Linked DNA regions of Danio rerio. The protein of the gene in region 1 purifies or fractionates together with the protein of each later gene. This does not show direct contact. Links are inferred from orthologs where the notes say so. Each region holds a gene or a part of one and is shown in the gene's direction. Other genes may lie near its edges. The genes, in order: e2f3 and tfdp1a.

The links.
Region 2: the proteins of e2f3 (region 1) and tfdp1a purify together in Homo sapiens (affinity purification with mass spectrometry; 3 studies listed by BioGRID and IntAct, with this or other methods). This does not show direct contact. The link is inferred for Danio rerio from reciprocal best matches to the Homo sapiens genes E2F3 and TFDP1.

Annotation. Positions count from the first base shown.
Region 1 is NC_133194.1:31,758,793-31,763,168, reverse strand, and holds the start of e2f3 (transcription factor E2F3), read left to right. Parts: upstream 1-1,426; 5' UTR 1,427-1,688; coding exon 1,689-1,946; intron 1,947-4,240; coding exon 4,241-4,343; intron 4,344-4,376.
Region 2 is NC_133184.1:36,641,525-36,646,072, forward strand, and holds the start of tfdp1a (transcription factor Dp-1a), read left to right. Parts: upstream 1-1,663; 5' UTR 1,664-1,751; exon of another isoform or gene 1,752-3,106; intron 3,107-4,548. UniProt on the Homo sapiens protein: Can stimulate E2F-dependent transcription.

The DNA of each region.
Region 1 (4,376 bases):
TGTCATTTGAGTACTAGAAACTAGAAATGCTCCTCAAATGTCTCTGCAAATCACTAAAATATTTATTCCATTACAGTTAACGTCCATTTCATTGCAGTTGATATAAATGTTTTTAAGACCTTTGCTTCTAGTCACAGCACTTTTCCTTTAAAATGATTTGATGGCAATTTTTTAGCAGCTTATTTAGATTAGTGTCAACTTCGTATCCATCTAGATTTAATTAAGATCTGTATGTAGTAGTGTTTTTAAAGGCTTCCCTGTTGTCTACCTATAGATCACTTTGAAGGATGTAAACAAAAAACAATGGTTTCAACATATTTCCTATTATCCATTGTTTTGTCTAAAGCTAAAGAAGACGCAGATTGATAAATAATGTCATGATAGCTGTTTTAGCATATGATTGAATTGCCTCTTGTTACAGTTATGAAACAGTTTGATTAAAAGCAAGAAATGTTTATGGGCCAATGACATGACTACATTGAAATTATCTATTGACCCATTATTTTTGATTCACTATATAACAATTAAAAACAAGGTTTTTATAACAATATTTGATTAAAAATGCCCATAAAGTTATAAGATTTTGCTAATTAGAATAAGTTTTCACAGTCTATAAATAACAATTTTAATATATTATTATATGTAATGATGAAAAATCCTGATTTTATATGATATTGATGCTCTTTTTCTCTCAGTTTACACAAAGGTCCCTGTCTAGCGAAATTTCTAGGTGGCCCAACCACTCATGCAGTGCTCTCAGCATGTTTTTTTATTTTGAATTTTTTTTTATTAACAAGAACCAGCATGTACAATACAATCACTTTACATATCTTAACAAGAATAAAATAAGTGAGGAAAAATTGAAATTAAAGGAGAAGAGTAGAAGAAGAAAAAAAAAAACAGTGGAGAAAGTACATAATTATCAAATTATATACAAATATATTACGCACATTTTCCAATTTTAGTTATTAACAATAGTTATTAATGCACTTTTAAATTTTTGTAGAAATAATTTTGTGGGATAAACTCTATGAAGTAATTTAAATGATATGTCTTTAGCCTTACTTGTAATAAAAAAAAATTGAGGTAATGACCATACTAGAGTCCAGTTTATATTATTAAATATATTGTTCCAGTGAAAAAAATAATATATGGTATAGACATATTTTCTTTTAAGATTAAAGATCTAATTTTGTGATTATTAGGCTTAAATCTCTCAGCATGTGTCTCACATCTAGCACCCTCCAGAGGAGAAACCTCTATTTAAAAAACAAAAAAAAATACCATCGTGGAATTTCATTGGCTCCACTATACCGACACGTCAGCACACGAGGCCGGAAAATAGATTGCCTCTAGCGAATGAGTTCACATATGCAAATCCGTTTCAAAAATTTCCCGGGAAATCTGAGTTTCGCGGGAGGACCTTTCGCGCGTAAACCTCATCCCCTACTTCATTGTCCGCTTCCTGGAGCCATTTTTCGCTGAAGCAAGAGCGAGATCGCATCGCTTTTTAATCGCTTACATCGGGTGTTTTATCCTTTAGCAATTGCACTCATATTACAGCTATGCATTCCTAGCACTGTCCGCTACCATCATTTATGATCATTTTACACCCACTCGCCCGGATTTGGTAGAAAACTAGCTTCAAATCACAAGTGGGACAAAGGGAACCTGCGCCTCTGAGGATCATGAGAAAGGGGGGTTCCTCGGTCCCAGGACAAGTCATGTTGACAGGGGTTGTTAGAGCTGAACAGCACGGTGTTTTTACTGCGGTTTCCGATCGACGGTGTGCAGTTTATTCCAATGCTACCCGTATACAAATAAACACACCGCCGTCCACTAATAACGGCTGTGTGCCCGAGGCTTCTGCTGACAGTTTGTACACAACTCCTCTACAAGGATCCACACATGGGACAGGACTGCGACCCACGTTAGGACGACCACCGGTAAATGACTTGGTTTAATTCTGTGTTAAAGTGTTGCACGTTCAATCCTGTAAATGTTAAGTCGTGAGGCTAAGTCCACTTAGCCTACTTCTGCTGTCATCATGGCTACTGCTGGAGCTTCTTTAAGTCCATTCAGTCTGCAGGTTTATGCAGATTCTGAACTAAACTGCACGTTCATGCTATTAAACAATTTAGCACATTAACCAAATGTCCCCCCAAATATGCATGACGCATAATGATTGTTTACTACAATGAAGACGCCGCATATTTCCGCAATGTAACGTTTGAGTTTGTGCAGTATAACTTAAGACAACACGACTGTATTCGTATTAAACAATGTTTCAGTGCAGTATGTCGTTGTTCAACTTCAATATTGTATTATTTTAGTGTTTGTAAGTCGCTTGGTTGTGCAGTTGCACGCCTCTTAAAGTTTTTGTCAAAGCTCGAGAGTCGCCGATGTAAATCGTTTTTTGTGTGTATAATACATACCCTATGTGATGTATTATCGAGTGGATGTTCTCTGATATCTGTGTAAAAGTTGGCTTTTCCGTGCAAAAGCTTCAATTAGTGAGTCTAGGCCCTGGTTTGTTGTCTTAGGATGGGGGATGGAGTCCTTTCTGAGCTCGCGTACTCTGTGCTAAGCTGAATGCTTTGCTAACTTGTTTTTATCGTTATAAAGTGCTGAAATTCATGACTGCTGTTAGCTCTTTAAGTAATTTTCTACGTAGGTTCGATGGTTTCCATATTCTCCAAAACCTAAACTAATGTGTGGTTTAATATGTTTTATAGGTTTAAGATCATTTAATTCATGATTTAATTACGACTTCAAACTAAACTTCACTTCATTGCTTTAAGTTAAAGTTGACAAATGGCCAACCTTTTAACTAAAAGTACGATGTGTAACGTTAGTAGAAAGCTAATGAAGGAAAGAAAAGAGCTGTATTGCAGTCATGCAAGGCTAATTTAAATTCTACAATAAAAATTATCACGTAAGAGTCATATAATTGTGACAATAAATATTTAATTGTGGTCGTCCTAATGTTAATCTTACCAAATGCATAAATGCAATTCAAATTACGTTTGGATTAAAAAGAAAATGTTTTAATTCAATAAAATTGACTTTATTTAACAACTGGGTTTGTTCCACAAAATTACTTTTACAATATAATCTTTAGGACTTAAAGCATTGATATTGTATTGTTTAAAAAAATAAATGTCTAAAAACATAGCGTTATTTTAAAACAGTTGTCATTTCATGCTCTAAAGCTGACCTTTTAATATTAGAACTATCATGGTTTGAAAAACAGAACAAAAAAAAGACACTCAACAGCAAAGCTAGAAATTCTTAATCTAGATAAACCGAGATTTCCTTCGTAGTTGCTTAATTCATGTATGCAGTGTATTTGTGCATGTCATGCGAGAGATGTATTTTCTGCTTGTTTAATGATGACATCAGTGTTTTTGCAAAATGCAAAAAATAGATCCTGACTGCATCTATAATTATCATGTAGTCGGTGCTACTTTCTTAGTTTCTCAGTGGTCACTGAGTTTAAGCCTTTGGAAAAGGAGGACAGCCATTTTACTGCTCCCCTCTACTGTGTCTGTGTTGTCATGTGCATTTTAGTTTGTGTATTGTTAGTGAAATGAGTCTTTTTAAAATGCTTTAGAGATGTATAAGGTGCTAGCTTTATTTATATATATATATATATATATATATATATATATATATATATATATATATATATATATATATATATATATATATATAATTTTTTTTATCTAGTAATTTTTACCAACAACTTATTAGCATGTTTTATGCAGCGAATGCCCTTCCAGCTGCAACTCAACACTGGAAAACACCCATACACTTGCATTCACACTCGTACACTGGACAATTTAGCTTCTTCAGTTCACCTATACCCAATGTCTTTGGACTGTGGGGGAACTGGAGTAACTGGAGGAAACCCATGCAAACATGGGATAACATGCAAACTCCAAACAGAAAACCCAACTGACCCAGCTGAGGTGCGAACCAGCGAATTTTACCAACTGCGCCACTGTGACACCCTGTATACTATTCTATTTGTTTTTATCTAGTCTTTTTTCCATCCTTTCCACATGAAGTTTTTCTGTTTGGTTCAAAGTACTTTGACTTTACTATATATTTAGTTCCTAATGCACATTAATGGTGTAAACTTGGGGTTTTAACATGTATGTAAAGCAGGTTTAGGCTGGTAATGTGTGCATGTGTGTATAGTTTTTATTTATTTATTTATTTCTGGGGTGGAATTTAGGCTAAAAGGAGGCTGGAGCTCGACATCACAGACCACCAATACAGTGAGCCAGCTAAAACTCTTCGAAGTCGCAAAGGAGCTCTTAAACTGAAGATTCCCAAAGGTATTAAGTTAATTCTTTTGCTCCACAATTTTT
Region 2 (4,548 bases), on another chromosome or scaffold:
TTTATTTTCTCATCAGTGATGCCCAGTGTATTAAAAGTCTGTGCGTCAATGTGGGTAAATATTTTGAACATCTTCTGGGACATTTTTAATGCTTCCAAAGGGTTTGCTGCATTTAGAAAACGCCCACGTGTTGATGTTGTTCATTATTATGCGATTTACTTTCTATGTGTGATTTAATTGGACAAGAATCACAGAACTATTTTTTTCTACTTTAGCCAATTCCCATGGACAAGAAAGAAATAAAGTAGTGACTGCAGGTTGAAGCAAAGAAGTAAAAGTACCGATACTGCACTAAAAATGTACTCAAGGGACAGTAAAAGTACACATTTATAAAACTTCTTGGTAAATTACAATTTCTGAGAAAAATTACTCAATTTTCAGTAATTTGAGTATTTGTAATTAGTTACTTTACACCACTGCTACCTAACTGTGTTTATGTACTCTGTTTAGGTAAGAATTCGACATTTATAAATGTACAGCAGGGGTGCTCAAACTTGGTCCTGGAGGGCCGGTGTCCTGCATAGTTTAGCTCCAACTTTCCTTAACCCACCTGCCTGGAAGTTTCTAGTATACCTAGAAAGAGCTTGATTAGCTAGTTCAGGTGTGTTTAATTGGGGTTACACCTAAAAAATGGAGGAAACCGTCCCTCAAGGACCGGGTTTGGGCACCCTTGATGTACAGTATTTAATTCAAATAACTTCTTCAAATATACCCACCCAGAGACCTGAAAATGATAGTGACACTAAATGGTGACACCCTTTTTGAACACTTCTCCATTAGTTATCTGTATAAAACATACTGTATACAGTCCTGTCTGTGGGGGCAGCATGAATACTGATAAACATGTTACAGTCCTAAAACCAAAATGTGACCTAATGACTTAAAGTTTCAATTTTATATTTTATATAATGAGCAAATAAAATAGTCTAATTTATTATTTTGCTGATTTGTACATTATGATTTGTACTTCATAAATATTGACTTGTGCATAATACTAAACGCCTCTAAACGTATTTTATGTTGTTTTTTATACATCTTTTCTCAATTATTTAAAATGAAAACACAATTTATTAATCGTAACTTGGCTAACAAGCCAACAAATACACTTAAAGAGCTAAGAAAGAGTTTACCTTTTCCTTTTCATTTCCTAAATACAGTTAAATGGATACCAGTGCACTATTTTGCACCACAAACCTGTAATAAATTGATATGGTGTCTGTATCTAAGCTTAGGTTCAAATGTTTAGTACTTTTACAGTACTGAGATCTAAATAAATAAACAGGATGACTACCGTGCAAAGGGGAAGCGGTCTAATTGAAAATATAACCCGAGAAAGTGATATGAAAGCGGTAATTAGACATTTATACACTGGTAACAGATGTTCTTATTGTATTGGGTGGTATTAATAAACATATATTAGACATTTAATACACATGAACCATTTTTTATTCTCTTTATTTACATATATACCTACGCACGCTCCACCCTCAGACGCAGTGGGTGGAATCCAGTATAATCAACCAATGAGAACATGTCAACACAGCTTTTGTAGCGCTCCGTCTAATCAGAATTTAGCGCGGGCGTGTCTTTTGTAATACGTTTTTTCGACGTCACGAGCATCATCGTCCAATCGGGTTTCCCGTGGCGTCGACACCGCCAAGCTCAGTTTTACAGACCTAGAGAGGGAGCAGGTTCTACTGTGCGCTCCTATTCATTCTACGCTAGACAGTTGAAGGCGGATGCAACCGACCGTAAGTGAGACCAGGGGGGGCTCCGAGTCCACACAGACAGCTTTGAGCGATGTTTTCCGTTTTTATATATCACCAGTGCATAAAGAAGCTGTCTTTTATCTGCGCTTGTAATAATTTAACACAAAATAAGTGCGTTTGACAGCAAACTCGTTCTAAAACAACAGCGTGCGACTGTATGCAGTTGTACATCTGCTATCTGAGGCCGTTAGTCTGTTAACCATCAGTCCTGATTCATTATCATATAGGTGAAATATTAAAACTGTCTGTCTCAGATGGCTTGTGTTAGCCAACATGCTAAGCCATGTCAAGTGTTTCTGTCAGTGTAGTGCAATAGAAAATCGTCCCTGATCTTTACCGATCGTACAAAAAAGCATTGGCAGGCAAAACTGGACGTGTAATAAACAATAGTAAGGGGATCGTAGATTGATTATGATAAAGCTGTCGAGATGACCTCGATTTGAGTGGAAGTTAGCTTGACGTTACTAGCTCGCCTGGTCGCTAGCTTAACAGTTTTATTTTAATTCGCTTTAAAGCGTGTTTTAAAGACTTTTGAAACTAAAGAAACAGTTGTTATTGTTACTATCGCATAAGCACGAGGATTTTGTTCAATTAATAAGTAGTTTTTGACGACAGAAGGACCTGTCACCTCAGCTAGCATCACTGCATGTTGGCTTTGCTTTAGCAACCATGTAAAATGGCTGCCAGGCATTAAACCAAAACCATCCTGTTTGTTCAATTAGTTCATGAATGTTTGCAAATAATTATGTCCCATTATGAACGGCTATTTTCCGTTTTTAGAGTATAATCGGTTGTTTAACTTGTGTTGCTGTTGAAGCCAACGAATTCTGTGACCCTCCAGCTGAATAGGTGTTGTGACTGTCAACTGTGTTGCTTAATAATGTGGCCGTTTATATACATATATTTGCTTAAGATTATTCTTTATTAAACTCTATATAATATATATTGATAATTTTAGTTCTTTTATTTGGAATTATTTATAGGGATTTACAGTTTGCATGCGTCTTGTATGTGCATGCTTAAAACATCCGCATCCATTTTGAGGTTTATGAATGTGCCATGATCTAACAATCAAACATCTCCCAAGTGCAAGCTCGTTTCAAAAGCACGCTCATTCACCGCACATGGGTTTTTATTTTTCATATTATTTGATTTATTTTTGTTTCCTGTTTGAGAGATGGGCTTCAGACCTCCTCTTCCTCTGTCCTCTTGCTAACTGGCTATGCCAACAAAAACAGCACCTAAGAAGGCAAAGGGCTTCAGGACTGTAAGTTCAGAGGAAAGTTTACAGACTTCATTTCCAGATGGCCATTTAAGTCCGATTCGTTTGCAAAACGGTACGAGCACATGCACAATACCCGATCTGCTCGCATTTAAACACGAGAAGCACGTTTTGATCACAATTAGGACCAGGGTTCGTTGCAAAACGTGTTTGAAAGGCTGCTAGCTAACTGGGCTAACACGCTTTATAATAGTGCACACTGCTTCGATTGTGCATTATGTTTGGAGCGGAAAAAGTAAACGAATGAAGCAGATTATCGTTCTGCTTGATGCGTTTACACGCTTTTTTATTACTTGAGACACTTGATATTTTTGTATTTAAGGGCCCTTTCCTTTTGCAAGAAAAGTTACTCAAAACGACAGGAACTGTTGCATATGGATGTTTTTCAGGATATTGCACGAGGGGTTTGGGTGTAGGAGTTCGAGATTTGATGTTAAAGAGATGATACGATTCGTCGAGGTCTTTGTCTGGTAATAAAAGCTGCATGAGAGCTGGCGGGCCTCGTTTTCATCAACCATGACAGTGTTTCCAAACCTTGTGAGCGTCCTACCTAGACAGCATTTTAAAAATTGCGACTTCTTTAGCAAACACCGAATCGAACTAACTTTGAATTCACACAGTGCTTGAAAGTGTTTGGGTCTCATCTCAATACACTTGTGATGTTTTAATCCACATGTAAATAATATCATCAAGTAAAACATCTTGGCTAAACACTGCATTGAGATGTTAATATATAAACATTCGTGTAAACTTGTATTGTTTAGGCTTGTGCTAAAGATGTAAGGGTGTGTTCATTGACACTTGGTGGGTTTGGTTTGATTAGAATTATCTCTGGTGCAGTTGCTCTGTTGGATCATTTGAATAAGTGTGAACGCTGCCATGGTTGTGGACCAAACAAGCAGACCATCACTGCTGGAAAAATAGGTTTTGGCATGATTGCGATGCAACACAATATACTTCCTTGCAAACTAAAACATGTCACAATATGTGACCACAAAAAAGACAGTGCACTATCATACATATATTTTTAGAAGAAATACTGCTTCTTATGGTTGAGTACAGGTTTTGAAAAGGAGTCTTCTTGCAATCAAAGTTCTTAATGTCACAGTTTTGACTCCTTTAGCCTTCATGTTTTATAGGCTTTCCACTATAAGTGTGTTTAGCCCAGCACACAGCAATGTTTTGGATGTTCTCTTACAAAATATGTAATTTTTGTATTAAATGTTTATTTCTCTAACACTTTTACATTGTAGATTGTGTCAAAGCAGCTTAACATAGAAATTCTAGTAAATTGAAACCGTGTTAGTCTGGATTTCACATTTGAAGTTCAGTTCAGGGTGGTTTAAATTTTACTACTGAAAGTCCAAACACTGAAGAGCAAATCCATCAATGCACAGCTCCACAAGTCCCAATCCAAGCAAGCAAGCCAGTGAAGATGAACAAACTTCACCAATTGACGAAAGTGAAGGAAAAAAACCTTGAGGAACCAAGCTCAGC